Arabidopsis thaliana: one gene and its partners. The protein of the gene in region 3 interacts with the protein of the main gene of each other region in a pairwise test. Each region holds a gene or a part of one and is shown on either strand. Other genes may lie near its edges. The genes, in order: bZIP2, CRF8, NAC066 and AT2G39000.

The links.
Region 1: the proteins of NAC066 (region 3) and bZIP2 interact in a two-hybrid assay, tested with the Arabidopsis thaliana proteins (one large-scale study listed by BioGRID).
Region 2: the proteins of NAC066 (region 3) and CRF8 interact in a two-hybrid assay, tested with the Arabidopsis thaliana proteins (one large-scale study listed by BioGRID).
Region 4: the proteins of NAC066 (region 3) and AT2G39000 interact in a two-hybrid assay, tested with the Arabidopsis thaliana proteins (one large-scale study listed by BioGRID).

Annotation. Positions count from the first base shown.
Region 1 is NC_003071.7:7,896,759-7,901,550, reverse strand, and holds bZIP2 (basic leucine-zipper 2), read left to right. Parts: upstream 1-2,308; 5' UTR 2,309-2,747; coding exon 2,748-3,263; 3' UTR 3,264-3,539; downstream 3,540-4,792. UniProt on the Arabidopsis thaliana protein: Transcription factor that binds to specific DNA sequences in target gene promoters. BZIP2-BZIP63-KIN10 complex binds to the ETFQO promoter to up-regulate its transcription.
Region 2 is NC_003070.9:26,820,440-26,825,285, reverse strand, and holds CRF8 (Integrase-type DNA-binding superfamily protein), read right to left. Parts: upstream 2,770-4,846; 5' UTR 2,410-2,769; coding exon 1,924-2,409; 3' UTR 1,615-1,923; downstream 1-1,614. Other genes in the region: AT1G71140 (MATE efflux family protein), read right to left, coding at 1-202, 282-524; GLIP6 (GDSL-motif lipase/hydrolase 6), read left to right, coding at 2,866-3,112, 3,212-3,351, 3,426-3,891, 3,979-4,214; AT1G71110 (uncharacterized protein), read right to left, coding at 4,434-4,846.
Region 3 is NC_003074.8:22,927,918-22,933,293, reverse strand, and holds NAC066 (NAC domain protein 66), read left to right. Parts: upstream 1-2,837; 5' UTR 2,838-2,886; coding exon 2,887-3,058; intron 3,059-3,268; coding exon 3,269-4,101; 3' UTR 4,102-4,288; downstream 4,289-5,376. Other genes in the region: AT3G61920 (UvrABC system protein C), read left to right, coding at 93-656. UniProt on the Arabidopsis thaliana protein: Transcription activator of genes involved in biosynthesis of secondary walls. Together with NST1, required for the secondary cell wall thickening of the anther endocethium, which is necessary for anther dehiscence.
Region 4 is NC_003071.7:16,284,819-16,290,556, forward strand, and holds AT2G39000 (Acyl-CoA N-acyltransferases (NAT) superfamily protein), read right to left. Parts: upstream 3,445-5,738; 5' UTR 3,124-3,444; coding exon 2,952-3,123; intron 2,575-2,951; coding exon 2,178-2,574; coding exon of another isoform or gene 2,120-2,177; exon of another isoform or gene 1,947-2,119; coding exon of another isoform or gene 1,943-1,946; coding exon 1,636-1,942; 3' UTR 1,407-1,635; downstream 1-1,406. UniProt on the Arabidopsis thaliana protein: Protein acetyltransferase with dual specificity triggering both N-alpha-acetylation (NTA), with a large spectrum of modified N-termini, including methionine, alanine, serine, threonine and to a lower extent glycine and valine as substrates, and epsilon-lysine acetylation (KA) of several plastid proteins.

The DNA of each region.
Region 1 (4,792 bases), on a different chromosome or scaffold from region 3:
TATGTTTAATACTTAATTATTTTTCTTTCGCCAATCTCATAATTAATTAGGTTTAAATTAAAACTGGAACTTTGACGTGTATTAAGAGCCGCTCATTGAGAACATGGATTGTGCAATGCACGTGGTTTCGTACGGTGCAGATCTACAAAAGAGATTCTGCGTCAAAGACGGTGTCGTGCACTGTTGTTGTCTAAATTTTGTAGGCGGTGAAATTATGAAAGTTGTCTACTAACGGTAACTAAATTAACTACCAACGGTAAATAAATTTTGTCTCAGGTGAAGGGAAATTATTAAATTTGTCTAGCCTTTTTACCCGCTATAAGTTACTATTCAGCGTGGGACGAAAAAAAAAAAAATTACTACTCAGCGTGGTGTGCCGACATAAAAATAATTACTCGTGTAAAAGAAAATAAAAACTATGAAATACTTGAAGTCGTACTATTAAATTATAATTTCCTTGGTTAATATCATCGCTGTATCAAAATTTAGATTTAAAATATGATCAATGATATAATTTAAAATATATATATAACGTATGATAAAACGATCAACTTACATTGTTAAGTGTTTCTAGAGCATTTTAAAAACATATTCTATAATTTCATATATAACATTTTGTTCATAAAACTTAGGTAAATTTGATCTCGAATCTTTAAAACAACCAAAATATTGTCCACAAAAATTCGGTGTAATATTGAAGGTTGTTGTTGTTCATGTTCTTGATTACTTTTCAATTCTCTACATTTTTACATATTGTTTCATTTAGAAAAGGAGTTGGTTGAATTGTGGTTTATCACTTAATTTTTATTATTTATATGTAATTTATTTTTAATATAAGGTTTTATTAATTAATTTGCCTGTAGTATTGTTTTAATGTATGTTTATAGTTATTCATCAAACAATTGTGATCAATATAAAGATTATCCGACCGTTAGACTCGTCACAGGAAATTTTTCTGAAGTTGAATTTCAAAAGCTCAAACAATTAAAACGCGTAATGATAAGTGTTGTAAAATGTTATAGAATTAAATTTAAAATTGTAAACAAAAAGATATACAAATAAAGAAATGATGTTGATGATGATAGTGCTTTATTTTCTTATATTTTTTGTGTGTCTTTACCAATAAGAAAAGAATAATCCATTTTTATAGATATGAAAATTTAGTAAATCAATTGAAATTATTACAAATGATGTAGTGTAGTTATTTTGAAAATGGAGTAAACATTATCTGTAGAATATGAATTAATGATACGTGTTACATGTATTAGACATTCATTGGATTTGTAACAATTTATAAATAATTAGAAACATACTTCAGATTTATCTCTTATAACTATATTATAACTTTTTCTAACAATTTGTGACAGTTTTCGTTTCATTTTAGTTCTTACCTTCAGTAAGATCAGCTTTTATTTTGTGTTAAACAAATTCAACAACTCGTACAAACACTTTATGAGACTTTTCAATAATTAAGACGAACAACAATGATCTAGTACACACAAATTAGATACTAACATTTTTAGTTCGAAATCATTTACTAAATTCAAAATTTTGATATCAATCACATGGCTCGAAATTACTGTATTAGATTGAAATATCAGAGCACATATCAATCCCACAAATCCTCATGAATTTACTTAATCCACATACTTTAAATTTTATTTTTAAATATTCTATATTTTCTTAAAATGTTGGCTGAAATAATGTTTTACAAAATTTTATTTCGTTGGAAAATTATTAAATTTATCACCTTCCTATTTGATATCACTTTTAATTCACCAATTGTATGTATCAAAATATTCAAAGCCATTGACTGAATTAATGGCAACAAAAATTATCAAAGATTTTCTGTAATTCCTACATTGACTACATGCAATTTTCAAGACATTGACTATTTTCAATAGTTTTCACTCTTTTTAATCTTGATATCTGGTCAACTTTTACCACCTACCTATTTGTCTATCCTACTACATATCATTAATCACACCATTAAACCACACAAATCTATACTTACCATTAATATTTTTCTTTTGAATACCAAAAAAACAATCAAAAAGTAAAGTGTCATTACCAAAAAAATAAAAAAGCAACATCCACCTACTGACCTACATATTTTTTTTAATAAAATTATAATGAATCATTTTGTTAGTAAAAAATAAAAATGATAAAACAATGGGCGCGTAAACGATTCCAGCTTTCCCCACCATCCATTATTTCCCAAAAAATCAAAATAAATTAAAAAGACACAAGTGGATGCTTGAGATTTGGTTTCTATATAATCCATAACACACCCTTCATCAAAAACCTCTTTCCCATTCACTCATCTTCTCTTCCTTATCTCCTTAAAAATCTTCTGCTGTTTTCTTTTTTATATTTAGAGCTCCTCTGTTTCTTCTCCAATAACCAAAAAAAAAAAAAAACTCTTCCTCTGTTTGTTTTCAAGTTCTGACATCATAAATTCAGACCGAGAAAACATAAAAATTTGAGTCTTTTGATGATCGGAAACTGATGACTCCCGTTCTCTGCGAAATCCTGCTCTCTGGGCTCACGGTCAAATCTGCTCTCTGCCGTAGAACCCATCTCGTTCAATCTTTCTCCGTCGTCTTCCTCTACTGGTTTTACAACGTTTCATGAATTGCTACAAACTCTAATTAATTTTTTCAGACAGATCATAAAAAAAAACCAAACATAAAACATAAAACTCTGTCCTTTTTTTGTCTTCTTGTAACTTTTCTTGTTAAAAATCAATGGCGTCATCTAGCAGCACATACCGGAGCTCAAGCTCTTCCGACGGTGGTAATAATAACCCGTCGGACTCCGTCGTCACCGTCGACGAACGAAAACGTAAAAGAATGTTATCGAACAGAGAATCTGCACGTAGGTCAAGGATGCGTAAACAGAAACACGTTGATGATCTAACGGCTCAGATCAATCAGCTATCAAACGACAACCGTCAGATCTTGAACAGCCTCACCGTAACATCTCAGCTTTACATGAAGATCCAAGCCGAGAACTCTGTTCTCACCGCTCAGATGGAGGAGCTTAGCACCAGACTCCAATCTCTCAACGAGATCGTTGATCTTGTTCAATCCAACGGTGCAGGATTTGGTGTTGACCAGATCGACGGCTGTGGTTTTGATGATCGTACGGTTGGGATCGACGGATATTACGATGATATGAATATGATGAGTAATGTTAATCATTGGGGTGGTTCGGTTTACACTAACCAACCCATTATGGCTAATGATATCAATATGTATTGATTAATAAAATTAATTAAAATAATTAGATGCCCCTTTTTTGTCTTTTTATTTTAAAATTTAGCCCATTTTGGTGTTTTTGGGTTGGTGTGATGATGTAATTATAGTACATGCATCTTTGATTGGTTGGAAGGATAAATATAAACTTTATATATATATTGGGGCATATATATATGAGTTGTACTTTGTCATGTATTGGTGTGTGTTTTGTTATAATTATATGATTATATATGTTTATGTTATCATGATTTTGTCTTTCACCTTAATATTCCAATTGTTTATTCGGATAATGGTTTGTTTATGCTTCGAGAAAAGCAACTTTTTGGATTGGTAATTTTTAAGAATGAAAAAAATCACATTTTGGATTGATGATTATATATATATATATATATAAGCTGCATTTACAATTAAGTTTTGGTTTTTCTGCAAATAACAATAAAAAGGAACTTCTAGATAACATGTCAAATCTACCAAGTCAAATTTCACCTGTAATATAATTCGTTGTCAGCAACGTAAGTGCTAAATAATGATCAATTATATAACAAATAGAGTTCCTTGCGACTAGGAGAAATTTATCATAATGTATGTGAAAAATAAAAGATCTTCAAACATATATATGATGCTTATATGTTTAGAGGGTTTTGTTGCAAGAACCCATCATTTTAATATAAGATTATGGTTTTTTTAGTTAAAACACAGATGAGCAAATCTTAGGTGTATGATAATTATTTAGAAATGTATTAAAACCTTCGTCAGTCAAACATTTTTGCTTAAAAGTATCATTCATACAAAAGGACATAAATTTAAAATTCAATGATTTTTCCTTTTTTTCAAATGTAATAACACCAGTGATAAAGTTTATTGTACGAACGCAAAACGTTCATATTAATGATGGTATCTTGAAGATTTATTTGTATTTATTACATATGTGGCCAAGAAAACATATAACGTCAATTTAGTTTTATTGCTTTTGCATTTATCTTTTCTAAGAATCTCTATGAATATATTGTATTATAGATATATATTGTGTATATTATATAATCTATATTTTTTTTTTTAATATTAGATGTTTCAGGGTCAGGGCATATGAACGTAATCTATTCTTTTTTTTAAGAAAGCAAACTTTTTCCAACACGAATTTAATCCGTGACTTCAAACATTTCCATATTTACGGTACACTTGTATTATTGTGAGTGAATATGGTTTATGTTTATCCTTTATCTTTTTGAATCTTATTATATATAAAAAGGTTGGTGTTGTGTCTTTACGATTTTAATCTTAACTTTATGTTATATGAAGACATATATGAAAACGATATATAAACACCAACAAAATAAAAATAATCATTATTGGATGTCCTATTCTCTTCTCGTATATGTGAAGCTTTACACTTGCTGAAAATTATTGGCTGTTTCTTCTGATTTGTTCAATATATATATATATATATATATATATATATATATATAAATGATCTCATCACAAACGATGGGCTATTATTTTTCGTATATGACATGAGACAATTATTAGGTATG
Region 2 (4,846 bases), on a different chromosome or scaffold from region 3:
ACTTCCCAGCTTCTTGAGCAACCATAGCATCTTGTCCAATAAGAGAAAGTATATCACCAATGTATGTCCAGAGAAGAGAGAGAGGAATACACACAAGAAACAAAGAGACAATTCCTGTGTAAGTATGAACACCAAGCTTCTCATATTGCTTAGCTCCATTAGCTTGACCACATAAAGTTTCCAACGCACTAGCCAATCCAAACTGTGTGATTACCACAACCACAATTTAGAATCTTAAGCTAATAAAAATGAAAAAGAGAAAGATCAAGAAAGAGACATACAACGACGCTGAAACCGGTGACGCTGCAGAAAGAAACAGCAATGGCGGTGCTAGAGAGGAAAAGCTCACCGAGATGACCAACCATCATTATAGATATCACCTGAAGAACATACATAGACGAGTTCACTGCAATCATCGGACCGGCGATGTAACTAAGTTTCTTCGTTTCCCGCAAAAACCCATCTTTCTTGTTTACTTCTTCTCTGTCGCTCACAACAAGCAAGCCCTTCTCCGCCGAATCCATTCTCTCTTCTTCTTCCCCTGAGATTTGTTGTTTCAATCTAATACTTTAACCTCTTTCTCCGAATCAACCCTATACTTTATATACTAATATTATATGATATCTTCTGTGGAATTTATAGCGGCGTGTCGTATATTGATTCTACACCTCGAGATACAGATACATGCGTCGTCCTCTCTTATTCAGCCGCCATAAATTCTCTCTCGATCTAAATAATGGCACTTGATTATAGCAAATTAAGAAAAGTCTTTGTTAAAAAAAAAAAACTTTACATGCAAATCACCAAAGTACTATACAATAATGCGTTGAAATATTATAATCTTAACTTGTTTAATTAGTCAAGCGGTCTGTTAAAAATTTAATTAATTACAATGTTGATTCATTGATTCATTTTGAATATAAGTATGTTACTTCCTCATAAAGGTATCAAAACGAATCAAAAACAAAATTTTCTCTGTTTTGTTTTTTTATTCATTTTGATATCAAAAATCTTCCTCTTTAAGGTATCAAAAGATTTGTTCAAAAAAGAAAAATCTTCTTGTTTATCATGTGAAGTTTGTGAACCAATCAAAATTTATCTTCAGATCCTTTTTTTTTTCAATTTCATAATCGTAAGTCAAAAGAAAATATCTGTTTGCTTTTTTTCTAACGCACTTGTGTTTCCTCAAACTTATTATTTTTAAACTCATGTGCACGTACATGTAAACATTCATTTCCTCTCTTTTTCTTTTTTTTCTTGTCAAAACATTCATTTCCTCTTTAGTCACTACTATTATCGAAAACATTCATTTCCTCTTTAGTCATTACTATTATAGTATTATAGAAGATCATATATATCATGTGTATGATGAAGTCTCTTGGTTTAGCTGATCTCTTCATGTTCTTTATTACTTTCTTTATCTCCAAACCCCTCACCCATGGCCATCAGTCTTCAACAAGTCAAAGTAAATTGATAAATTCAGTATTTTTCATTAGACACCCCAAAGTATAAAAATGTATCGTTGATACGGTGATACAAGAACCAAAAGATGGAAAGATATATAAAGAATTTTCAACTTTTCATCAACCATCAAAATATAACTCTGATCCAAGTCATTAACGTTCAATTTGGTTAGAGTTCTGTTCTATTATGTGTTGATCCATAAATGGTAAAAAGATTGAATAGTATACAAATAAAAAGAGCCTATTTCAACCCAAACTTTTCTTTCCTAAACGTTTTAAAAATTCAAAAAAATTTGTACCTTAAAATTTGTGTGTAAATCAAAATATAGTTCATTTCTCGAGTTTCATATATATACATAGACGAAAGACATCAAGATCATACACAACATCAGAAGATGAATTTACAAAATACGAGAGAGACCTTCTTGCTAATGCTAACAACTAAATTACCAACCCCACTTCACGCGCCTCTAGCAACCTCAGAAGCTCCAATCACCGTCTTATCCTCTTGATTCTCCGCCGGCAAACCAAAATTGGTCGGCGCGTGAGGTCCAATCAGCTTAATTGAAGCGTTATCATAAGCTAGAGCAGCTTCCTCAGCAGTGTTAAAAGTACCCAGCCAGAGACGATCACGTCGTCCTTTACAAGCTCCTCTTCCACATCTGATCTCCGCCACCCACTTCCCCCACGGCCTCTGCCTCACTCCACGATATTTCTTCTCCGTTTTCGCCGTCTTGAGAAATTCCGCCGGGATCCTGATTTTGAACCGTGTTTTGCAGACATCGAGTTTATCGGCGGAATCGGAAGGATCGATTACGATCTCTTTAACGAGGCGTTTCCCACGGCGCCGAGTCTGGGATGCTCCTCCACGCTCCTCCGTGTCTTCGTCGCTAGAAGAATCGGTGGCTTCTGCGTCGGTGAATGAGATTCTGATAATACGCTTCATAGTGAATTTGCGGAAATTAGGGTTCCGTCTTCGTCTCCATTAAAAGGAAAGCATTTGAGAGAAAGAATATGTTTTTATTCTTTCAGAATCTCTTTTTCTGATGCTTTTCATCTTTACTTATTTACTTCTCTATTTTTTTCTAACCAATCCTATGTGGGCCGTATGGGCCTCAGAGCTGAAAATGCAGTAAAATCCATGAAATTTCTCAACATGGCTTGAAGCCCATCTTCTAAAGGAAAAAACGCTTTACTCTTTTTTCCTTCATCTATGTAATAAGAAGCAGAAATTTAGGAATAAGTTTGAAACTTTAATCACACATAAGAGTAAGTGCAAAAACATGAACAATGTTCTTGCCTTCCGTGTCAATTTTGTATATATATATATATATATATATATATATATATATGTGTGTCAGTATATAATCTCCTTTTATATGATTATAAACTCATTTGTCCCATGTCTTCTTCTTCTTCAATGGACTTACTCATGTGTCTGCTTCTTCTAATCTCTCCGGTTGTTCTGGCCAAGTCTTCTTCCACCGTCCCTGCTATCTTTACCTTCGGTGACTCTATTTTTGACGCCGGAAACAACCATTACAACAAAAACTGTACCGCTCAGGCTGATTTTCCTCCTTATGGTTCTTCCTTTTTCCACCGTCCTACTGGGAGGTTCACCAACGGAAGAACCGTCGCTGACTTCATCTGTAACAAATTACCTCCCAACTCGTTAACTAAAACATTTCTTCTTCTGCAAGGAACCTTACTTTTGTCTCTTTTTTCTTTTCTTGACGCAATAATTGCAGCGGAATTTGTAGGCCTTCCATTACAGAAACCATTCTTGGAATTGCAGATTCAAATCTTGAATGGAACTTCAAACTTTTCAAATGGCATTAACTTTGCTAGTGCTGGTAGTGGTCTCTTGCTTGATACCAACAAATTTATGGTAAATATCTACCTTGACCAAATAAAATGTTTGTTTCTTGTGAATCACTCATTAAGTACACATATCAAATGTAGGGCGTGACACCGATCCAAACCCAGCTACAGCAATTCCAGACACTTGTAGAGCAAAACCTTATCGAAAAATCTATAATCCAAGAGTCTCTCTTCTTATTAGAAACTGGTTCTAACGACATCTTCAACTACTTCCTCCCATTCCGAGCTCCTACACTTTCTCCAGACGCTTATGTGAACGCAATGTTAGACCAAGTGAACAAAACGATTGATCAGATCTACAAACTAGGCGCACGCCGCATCGCTTTCTTCTCCTTAGGTCCTGTAGGTTGTGTCCCTGCAAGAGCCATGCTTCCTAATGCCCCAACCAATAAATGCTTTGGTAAGATGAATGTTATGGCCAAGATGTATAATAAAAGACTTGAAGATATAGTGAACATAATCCCCACTAAGTACCCTGGAGCCATTGCGGTGTTTGGAGCTGTATATGGTATCACTCACAGATTTCAAACCTACCCTGCCCGTTACGGTAAACTCAATATAGTTAATTAACTTCCATCTTTGAGATCTTTTTCAAATGTGTCTATGAGAAAGCTGAATCATGTTTTTGGTGAAGGGTTTTCGGATGTTTCAAACGCGTGTTGTGGGAACGGTACACTGGGAGGATTGATGCAGTGTGGAAGAGAAGGATACAAGATTTGCAATAACCCAAATGAGTTTCTGTTTTGGGATTTTTATCATCCCACAGAACACACTTACCGTCTCATGTCAAAAGCTTTATGGAATGGAAACAAAAACCATATCAGACCATTTAATCTCATGGCTCTTGCCACCAACAAGATCACATTTTAATACTTATATCTCCCTTGTATATAGAATTCATAATGAGTTTGTATCTGAATTAAGACTCGAAATCATTGTGAAAACAAAAGCCAGAAAGTGAAACTTCGCTCCACTTCTGGTCTCTTCTTCCTCTTCTACTGTAACATGAACGCTACAAAATGTTTTTATTGTTCTCTTTCATATCATTATGAAATACAATATCTGATTCTATCTAACTATACCTCTATACTATACGCATTCTACAGAAAGCTTAGGTTCGTCATCTGAGTGATGAGTATCCAAGCCGTTACCAAAGCTATCATCTTTTCTTTGAGGGTGTGGATCCGCAAACACTTCCTCCCTTTGGGGGCGGTTCGCATAGAATATCCATAGCACCAGACATAGTAAGACTCCTACGGAGATCAGTCCGAGTCCTGCGTTCACAATCCTCAGATTACGTACTAACGGTGGACAGTAATCTGAGGTAATACTCATAAATGTTTCCCTAACAAAGTTGCAATCTCGGAAGCTAAGCAATGGAGGCGTGTAATGCTCTAGAGCGTAGCTCTCATTCACAGCTGCTACCAACTGTCCAAAGGTATCTGGCGTTACTCTCCCCACGGTGGTGCAGATTCCAGATGGTGTAACCTCGCATTTGTAAT
Region 3 (5,376 bases):
TAAACCCTTCTCCGTCTTGGGGTTTTCTTTGGATTCCATACATTACATATACACAAAATAATCAGTTATTATTTCTAACTTATGTAGCAAAAATGGGTAACTGCGTATTCAAAGGCAATGGTGGTTCAAGAAAATTATACGATAAAGATGATTCGTTGATAAAAGTGGTGACTCCAAACGGTGGCGTGATGGAGCTTCATCCTCCCATCTTCGCCGAATTCATCACCAACGAATTTCCCGGCCATGTCATCCACGACTCTTTAAGCCTCCGCCACTCATCTCCACCGCTTCTCCACGGCGAAGAACTCTTTCCCGGTAACATCTACTACCTCCTTCCTCTTTCTTCTTCCGCAGCCGCGACCGCTCAACTGGATTCCTCCGACCAACTATCAACGCCGTACAGAATGTCTTTCGGGAAGACGCCGATAATGGCGGCTTTGAGTGGCGGTGGTTGTGGAGTGTGGAAGGTGAGGCTTGTGATAAGTCCGGAGCAGTTGGCGGAAATTCTTGCGGAGGATGTGGAAACGGAAGCGTTGGTGGAAAGTGTGAGGACGGTGGCGAAGTGTGGCGGTTACGGCTGCGGCGGAGGAGTTCATTCGAGAGCGAATTCAGACCAGCTAAGCGTTACGAGTAGCTTTAAAGGGAAATTGTGGTAAAATTTCGAATTATGAATAAACTACGTTTATGTTTTAATCTGTTTCACGATTTAAGCATTTAAATTAGTATGTTGATTTCCGTATTCATTGAAGACTTGGAACGATTATATAAGTTTATCAACGTAGATATATTTGAAATATCATTGTTATCTCTCATGAAACAATTAATTTATGAAGTCGTAGACTCGTAGTTAGAGATTATTTAATCTTCCCTATTCAATGCCAAAAGTCTAGAAGAGCAAAACAAAAGGGAGAAACTCTTTTATTTCAGGCCCAATGACACAAAGCTGGCCAGAAACAGTTTAAGATTAGGCTAAAGTTATAAGTCCGACAAGCACGAGTGCTAATATATATAGTTATATGACGTCTCACCATTAAGGGTTTAATAAATTTTGAAACACCTCAAATTAAGATTGCTTCCCATGCAAACTTCCTTCATCTTCTAGAAAAATTACGATTTGTAATACTTCAATTATATCATTTTAGTTTTTTGTCACTAATTATCATCAATTTATCATAGCTCCGTGCCGCAACAACGTTCGTTTTAATCAGATTATATATTACTCTGCTATAAACTCAGAACCATGTTAGAAAAATGAAAAAGACATTTCAGAATATTCATTAACTCAAAATTTTAATCTCATGATTTAATTTTTTATTAACAATGTTATCCTATAGCACATGGCAAATTTGAACGGCCCTTGCGTATTAATCTATTATAATCTCAAAACCATGTGTAAGAAAAAGGAAATTCAGAAAATAACCTTTTGTAAATAGGCCCCCACAAAATCTACAACATACGTAGATACCTCCTCGCTTACAGTTGTAAACAACTGTTCATCTAGATTCATGCCGTCATTCAAGTTTAAATTAATACAATAATTTAAAATTTTAATTTGGATGAATCGAATCCACCGTCGTTTCCTGAATACCAGATAGGTTAACTTTATGATTAGTTCGAGTGAACCACATGCACAATATTCGAATCTTAGACATTCGTTGCAATGTTAACTTCACATATATTTGATAAACGCTTCTTGAATCAGATCTTAATCTCTTTCTTTCTCTCCATCTTCTAAGGAGGTTGTGGATTATCATGTAGTATATCATTATCTTCGCATCACCTTCAACAAGAACAAGCTACGAGCTTTAAAGTCGTATTTAACACAATAATGTATAAAGTCTTTCTTCATCACATCACATACATTTTTTGTTGCCATCACCCTTCATTCACTTTTTTTGTTAACACTATTCGTTTCTATATAAAATAAAAATAAAATGAGGAATGTCTTGTCCATAGAGATTTTTAAGGTCGAGGGTCATCGGAGCGATGTGGGCTTGCTTCCTACATTATAGTTGATATGTGGATCCCGCGTGGACCATATTTTTACCCAATAGCTACGTGCATGGTCCCACCGCTCTCTCTCACGCACTATTCCGAAATTGCCATAAACAATTTCACCGGACAAAAAGAGCAAATAATTTCGATGTTTAATAAAGAGACCATTAGTATATTTGACCCAAAAAAAAATAAAAAAAAAAGAGAGACATTACTATAACTTTTATTAGATGAAATATTGCAACATTGTATTTATAACGGATCTAATTTACTGAATCATATTTTTTTTCTTTGTTAAAGAGATACTGAATCATGCAGAAAAATAGATAGATTTTTAAATACTAGGTGAACTCATGACGAATCAACCATTACGAGAGATTTCTGGATAAAAGCAAAAACAAAACAAAACTAACATGCTAATCTAGGCAATTAGTAGAGCGAAAAGTCGGCAAAACCAAAGGCCGAAGAAGCTTGATCGATATACTTTTTTTTTTTTGTTTTGGCTGGATATACTTGGTATGAACTAAGAATTAAGTAAAAACTCATAGGGAGTAATTTTTCGAGAAGTGCATTCACTATGAGTATAAAACAGACATTTTCAAATTATTAAAACAAGCTCTTAGAGGCTCATATGTTTAATTGTAAGTGGCGGCTCATGCGAACTTATAATGAAAACATCAAATATTCGGAAAAATAATACTCCACTGTTAAAAAGAAAACTTAACAAAGGAATTAAAAATATGAGAGCAAAAGAACACATGCATTTTCTCATGCATGTACTATTATTTATTTTTTTGCAGAGTTGATGTAAAAAATATACACATATATATAGACATACTTTGGTTAGTTATAAACTCGTTCTATTTTCTTCTCCTTTTTCTATCTTTAGCAATGAACATATCAGTAAACGGACAGTCACAAGTACCTCCTGGCTTTAGGTTTCACCCAACCGAGGAAGAGCTCTTGAAGTATTACCTCCGCAAGAAAATCTCTAACATCAAGATCGATCTCGATGTTATTCCTGACATTGATCTCAACAAGCTCGAGCCTTGGGATATTCAAGGTTCATCATTTATCTTTTATTCTTGATGAAACGTATTAATAGGGCTTGTATATATTAATTAAATTAGTTTTTTAATGCATGTGTTGAGTCAAGAACTAAAGCTCTGAATTCAGGAAATTTTGCAGAGTAATATATACTTTTTGTGATAATAAAATTTGCAGTAACAAAATTCAGTCAAAACTTAACACAACTCTTGTTTTTTCTATGTAGAGATGTGTAAGATTGGAACGACGCCGCAAAACGATTGGTACTTTTATAGCCATAAGGACAAGAAGTATCCCACCGGGACTAGAACCAACAGAGCCACCACGGTCGGATTTTGGAAAGCGACGGGACGTGACAAGACCATATATACCAATGGTGATAGAATCGGGATGCGAAAGACGCTTGTCTTCTACAAAGGTCGAGCCCCTCATGGTCAGAAATCCGATTGGATCATGCACGAATATAGACTCGACGAGAGTGTATTAATCTCCTCGTGTGGCGATCATGACGTCAACGTAGAAACGTGTGATGTCATAGGAAGTGACGAAGGATGGGTGGTGTGTCGTGTTTTCAAGAAAAATAACCTTTGCAAAAACATGATTAGTAGTAGCCCGGCGAGTTCGGTGAAAACGCCGTCGTTCAATGAGGAGACTATCGAGCAACTTCTCGAAGTTATGGGGCAATCTTGTAAAGGAGAGATAGTTTTAGACCCTTTCTTAAAACTCCCTAACCTCGAATGCCATAACAACACCACCATCACGAGTTATCAGTGGTTAATCGACGACCAAGTCAACAACTGCCACGTCAGCAAAGTTATGGATCCCAGCTTCATCACTAGCTGGGCCGCTTTGGATCGGCTCGTTGCCTCACAGTTAAATGGGCCCAACTCGTATTCAATACCAGCCGTTAATGAGACTTCACAATCACCGTATCATGGACTGAACCGGTCCGGTTGTAATACCGGTTTAACACCAGATTACTATATACCGGAGATTGATTTATGGAACGAGGCAGATTTCGCGAGAACGACATGCCACTTGTTGAACGGTAGTGGATAACGGAAATGGAAGAGAGGAAGTGACTAAGTGAGTGACATACCAAAACATTGTGTAGAAAGATATAATAATCATCATACCATATATATAGTTGTTGAAACTTTTACGGTATAAATGGTCAGATTGTGATAATTACAGTACGTAGTTATGTGATATCATTACAGAAAATAAAAGTTCTCTATATCTGTGTACATTTTATATCATGATTAACTTTATAGAAAAGAATTGGTTGCATAGTTGAATTTCTTTGGATCAAGAATATTAGTTTTTGTCTTTTTGAAACTTAATTGCCATTCGATGAACAAAAAGGCAATTACATTTTCTACTGTAAGAAATCATAGTCTGTCACATGCATCGCCGGGTGTTTTCTAATTACAATTATATGAAAAAAGGATTTTGACCAAAAGTTGATTATGATTTCAAGAGAGACAAAAGACCAAAATGATAATTAATTCGTCGACAAATTAACTTTAGGAACAGATGATTTCCATTACGTTAATTATTCAAAGTTTCTCATTTTACTCTCAATTAAACTGAAGTTTTATTTACTAGAAACTTGAGATATTTAGTTGGTAAATGCTTAGTTTGATGTTGAATAGTTTGCTTCATTCATCATTAGGAATAGATTAATTACCCAATTAATCACCCCAACAAACTTGGATTAAGATGCACCAAGTGCTTAATAATAGTAGCTAATTAACCTACCCATCAAAGCTAATCACACTCATTATTTTTCAATTATAGCATTTAATCAAACAGTATTCGTTCTTATTGTTGAATAATCTCTTTCAAGGTGCGGAATCTTACTTTTGAAGAAAAATGGAGGATTCAAATATTCTCATCTTTCTTTTTATCATGTGATAATATTAGTAACAGACTCCATAACTGTAACGTTTTGACCTTTCATTTTCCACTTTAGCTTTCTGAAATTAGATTCGATTTATTATAATGATGTATTGATATTGATCATGTTGTAAATACTAAACGCAACAATTACATGAAACTTGAATTCGAGGCATTAATTTTTCTCTTTTCTCTTTGACCTTAGCTGATGCAAAATGGAGGATTTCTCAAATATCCTCACTGTTATTTATTTTTTATTTTTTGGGTTAAACCTTAATAAAAAATATTGGAAATATCAAAAATGTGTGGGCTGTTACATGTGAGTTCTGCTTGGTATTAATTGTACCACAAGTATATTGGGCCAGGCCCATTTTATTAATAGGTCAATAACGACATCAAATGGACTGTGAGTGTAGGTCCACTCGATGTCTTAAT
Region 4 (5,738 bases), on a different chromosome or scaffold from region 3:
TCTATAATTGTTTACAAATTTAAAGTTATTTTACAGTTATTTTAAACACCAAAAAATAATTTTTTTGCTCGACACAAACATAAAAAATCTTGTTGGTCTCTTCAAAAAGAGTAAAATGTTAGTGATATAAGATTTTACGTCTTAAAAAATTCTTTCTTTTACAAGTCTTTTCTATGAGAAGATATGAACATATTTTACAAGCAATTCCACCTTTTAAAAATCATTTTAACTAAATTGAATAAGTGGTGAACCAAATATTTAGGTGAGGAACCAAAACCAGCAGTGACCTAATCCCAATTATAGACCGAGTAAATGAAGAGTCAGGTATCGTGGTTGAGCTTGATTTAAAACCAAAGGACGAGAGTCTGCACGTTTCTTTACTATATGCAATCAATTTTTGTTTTAAATTTCACACCATATAAATTTTTTTGTAGGCTCCATATAAATGAATTGTTGACCGCTATATATTTTTTTCGTTTTTTTTTTTTTGTATACAGTAAAGAAACAACCCAAAATCCAAATTAATAAATTACAAAATAAAACAACTCTAAATCCAAATGCCAAAAGCCTAGCATACTCGTTAAATCTCCAAACTAGTAATGCAATCAATGCGATATTAGATAGTAAAATAGAACAAAAAATAAGACATAAGCTAAGTCACAAAAATAACAAAGTGTACTGCCAAAGCATTTAATCAAATTGATCATAGGAAAAAAAGAAAGAACAGTAGTATAAGAGGAAAGTGTGGCTAAATGCAAAGTTGGAGAATAATCAGGATAGCTATGAAAAAGGAAACAAGTTTGATGGGTCCAGACGAAGAAACAAGATTTTTTTGTTCATCAAATATCTTACATAGCAGCAATAGCAAGTTCATTGGGTGGATCACAAGTAAGTATACTAATCATGCGCCTCATGCCCTACTTGTATATCAGTTTAACTTTTTTAGAAATCATAGAAAACTTTGATGAAATTAACTAACAGTTTGTTTATGTTTGTTGTTGAACAAGGCTCTTATTATCTATTTCGTGAGCTACATAAACAAGATTATCATCAATCTAGCAGTCGACAAAACAGTGATTCCAGACCCTCATGTACTATGTGATGATTTGGTAGAATCGCTCAATATCATCAAACTTGCTGCCTTGCAGAAAGGAGTTCGTAAAATACAAGTTTGAGATATAGAAAATGAAGCTAAGTATGTTCGACAGATAAAATTACATGTTAGTGGCGTCAGAATTTCTTCACACAATAATATGTCCAATGTGTGATATCTTTATGACTTCCATGCCGATTTCTTCTTGTTCCAGTGATATTAATCTTGAGTTTCGAATACGCTATGTAGGTTTAAACTATGGATCTTAATTAGCATAGTGCGACGAATGCGATTTTAGATGTTTTTTTTTATTACATTGGTATATAAATCAAGTATGGCTAAGACTTGGAATGTCTTGAAACATGCTTGCGGGAGAAGCAAAAAGTTCACGGTGCTACAAGACCTTAAAAACTGAAAAAGCGTATTTGGTCGAAATATTATAGACAATAGCATTTACACAAGACTGCAACCATATTTACAATTACATAATCAGAGCTATATTTCAACAACAAACGGAATTCAAATTTCCTTTTTCCTCGGATTTACCGAAACTGTTCAAGAGCTTGTGTATTGTTGTTGTTCACTAGCTTCATCATGAAGGTAAACCTGGTGTCAGGAGATGTCTTCGGTTGAGGCCAAGTCGCTCCTTCAGGGATCTTGATGGATCTGAAACCTTGATCTTTGTAAAGTTTAGTTGCTCCTAAGTTGTTGAGATCACAGTGAAGGCCGATAGCTCTACATCCCCAGTTCTTGGCTAAAGCCTCTGCTTTCCATATGAGTCTCTTGGCTATTCCTTTGCGCCGGAAATTCTCTCGAACTGCCACATTTGATACATAAGCGATCCCGGTCCTGGCTTTAAATTAGGAACACACCATCAAATCATTATAAGACAATAAACGAATCCAGATCCGAGCACAACACATTCCCAACAAAAAATGACAAGATCCTTCTTTCACCAAGATTAGCTAAAGATTGCGAAACTTTATGTTATCCTAGTTGCACATTTTTGAGACTAGGTCCTTAGTCTTAAGAACAGAGGCACAGTGCTTGACGACAGAAATAAAAGCTAAGGCGAAAAGCGAACCTTCTCTGGCGGAGAGGTCCTTTTCTTGGAAGGTAATCAGCCACAGTATCAACAGTCAAGATTCCAGCAACATAACCTTTGTTTAAGCTGATCTTTGCATCAAAAGCTCCAATTTTGAAATCATCACTTCCAAAGCAGATGGTTTCATCTACTGAACTACCTATCACAGCCACTAAACAAGTCCTCTGGCACCCAGGTGGAATAGAAAATCCCATCACCATTGCCATTAACCTATCTACTCTTAGAACAACATCAAGCGGGAACGAATATCCCGGGAAGAAAGAGCTGCAATGAGTCTCTGCCACCTCCCAACAGTCCTCTAACCGTGCTTCACGAACAACGATTTCAGGTGAAACCGCTGGAAAAAGATCAACTATTTGACTTGCATTGCAAGCTCCTACATACAAAGATAACAAATATATTCATCAAAGAACAAATTTATCACCCATTGATAGAAGCAACAACTATGTTCACACTTTTCTTCTGTAACCAGAATCTCAAACCCGGTGAAAACTCTAAACTATTCCTAAAAGACTCAGTGACAAGAGGTCCTCAGGTTTAATAAAACAACTGATTTGCTGAAATCATGCAAAAGCCTGAAAATTTAAAGCTTCATGAAGCAAACATGCGCAATCAATTGTTTCGTTGAAAAATGAGTTAAAATTGAATCTTTCAATCAGGCATGGTCAATTACACTAGAGAGCATCTAACTGAATTCATCTGGGGATGGCTTAAGAATTGGAACTCGATCTAAATCATAGCTCATCATCAAACCTGAGTTGATTTGTGAAGGAGCTTGAGAGATAGAAAACGACGAGTGGCGTCTCCGACGATGGATAGAGAAATTAGAGACTCCTGAAGAGGAAACGAAGCGGCCATACCCATAAGAGTTGTGTTTGATTGAAGCTGGTGAAACCGCCGTCGTCCCCAACGGTGTGCTCCGCATCTTTCTCCGTTCGCCGTGCCTTTTCTGCTTCTCTAGCTATCTTTATTTCTTACCCAACACAAACGATTTTAACAACAAACCGGCCGGTTCGACCGGTCAAATCGCACCAATCACGATTTTAATAAAGAACCAGCAGGATTATCCTAAGTCACTATTCACTAATAGTAATCTTTTTATTTAATAATTCGCGTTAGGGAAATAAACTCTTTTTTTTTCCCACCAATTCACACGTTTTTTTTACCCCACCAATCCACATTGCCAAAACGTCTAGAATCAAATTTGCTCTTTCTTTTTTCAAAAGTTTGTAGCTACTGTTATGCCAAAAAAAAAATCTGTAGTGAAATGGTTTGGCAACCAAAACAAGAAAAGAGATGAACACTATCCACACCGCATCATCCGTCTTCATAAACAACATCATTATCATACCATAAACATCATCCCCAATCCCCATCTTCATACAAGCATCATCATCATTATCAACATTATATAACATCAGCATATGTCACCATCATCACCATATGACCACCACCATCATCAACATCATCCATCATCATCTTCACCCACCGCATTCATCATCATCATCTTCATCATATTATACCATTACCATTCATCATTCCACAAAAAAAAAATGCTTCGTATTTGAACTTTACGAAGACTACTGTTATCAGTTTATTGTAAGTTTACTTATCTATGTTTTGTATTTGGATTTTCATAAACACACCAATGTGACGTAGAAATCTGATTTGCATGATTTGTATTTGGATTTAATCCGCTAATTTTTTTAGCTATTTAACTATTTTCATCATAAATTACAATTTATTTTCTTATAAATTTCCTTAAAATCAGTACTTATTCCACCATATTATGCAATTTTCTTATAAATTTAAATTTACATGTAGAAAATAAAACAAATAAGCTAAGCGCGTTTATATTTTTTTTACGAATTCAAAACATCCAAATTCAAAAACGAATATAACTTTTTCCCTTTAGTCGACACTAAACTCATCACAAATTTGAAATAGTAGGAGACCATCCTTAAATCCCAAACAAAAATACTTTATATTGATGTCGCTTGAATTGTCAAAACTTCCATCTAAATAATGAGAAAGAAACAAACTACAGGAAAGAAATTTCAGTGAAAAGTTGACGTGGACAAGTTAGATTTCGAAGTTCTGATCTAATCCAATGATATTTGGTGAGCCACAAAACCATTATCCAAAAAGACAATGTACATTCCGACCCAACCACAAGCTCATCACGATCCACAAATGTCGCCACGTCTCTCGCCGACATCATAGAAGTGTACTAACCGTGTGGTGTCCAGATGCCATGTCTCCTGCTTAGAAGTTTCCGCGACAGAAGATTCACTTCTTCATCTTTTTAAAAAAAAATGCAGAATCATTTTCGATATCTTACATGGGTCACTTTTTAATAGTTATTGTTCTGTTACTTTTTTTTTCCTTACATTAATTAATACTTTATCGAATGTTTGTTTAAGCCGTTTTGGGTAAGCTATTTGTTATGAACAATAAAGTTGTCGGAACAAAGAATGGAGAACCTTAAATGAAGCCTTTGTATTTCACGCAATTGTTTTTTACTTTTAAGCAGCCCTATACCAATTTTTTCACGTGTTTTAAACATTCTTGTTTATAGTAACAATTTGAGTCTTTTTGCTTCTTCTTTTTTAATTACAGCACGTATTAGCAGCAAAATGATATTATTGACTTATAGTCATGTGACTCATGTAAAAAATAAAAATTCAAAACAAGAAGATGTTATAAAAATATGGATGAAGATGAATTGTATACATAGAATTAATATTACAATGAATCCGAATGTGTTTAGATAAGTTGTAAATTACAAAATTGCGTAGAAAAAAAAAAAATGTTTTGCTATCAGTATATCCGTAATACTTTTTATGAACGGTCCCATCTCTAGGAAAAATGAGTAATATAATTCATGAAGCAATTCATTTTCATTTTATTTACAGAAAAAAATAATGGTCGTCGCTCGATTATTAAGTGGGACATTTGTTTTTTTTTTTGGTATTATTAAGTGATGCATCATCTGTTGTAGTCTTGTAGAACTCTATAATCCGCCAAATGCTTCGCTTCAAATATATTCTTGTATTTATCTTGGTGTCCAATCCTACTCTGCCATGGACGGGCCTAGCTACGTAAATTAGATGGGTCTACCACGGACACCACGTGGACAAGATTTAATGTTCATGGTTCATGGAGGTCGATCGTCTTCCCAAAAAAACAGTCATTTGATCCTGTGTTAATAAAAGTGGATGATATTCATGTTAATATTTATTAAATTATATGGTTTCTCATTCTCCATTCTTCATATCGTAATTCTTGCTCCACATATGAAACATTTCAAATGTTGGGAATAAAAGGTTTTTTTCAGAAAATATAATAATCGTGGTAAATTCAATCCCATCGCAAGCTCTCCTATTGGGGTTGGGAAAATCTTTGAAAATTTTCTTTCAGGCTGTGTTTAGTTCCATGGCCACCTTAATGACCAGTATCTTTAAATACGGCAAGAGTTTTAAATTTGAAAAGAAAAACAAAAACGTAAAATTTCAAGTATTAGACAACGTACATTCTTAA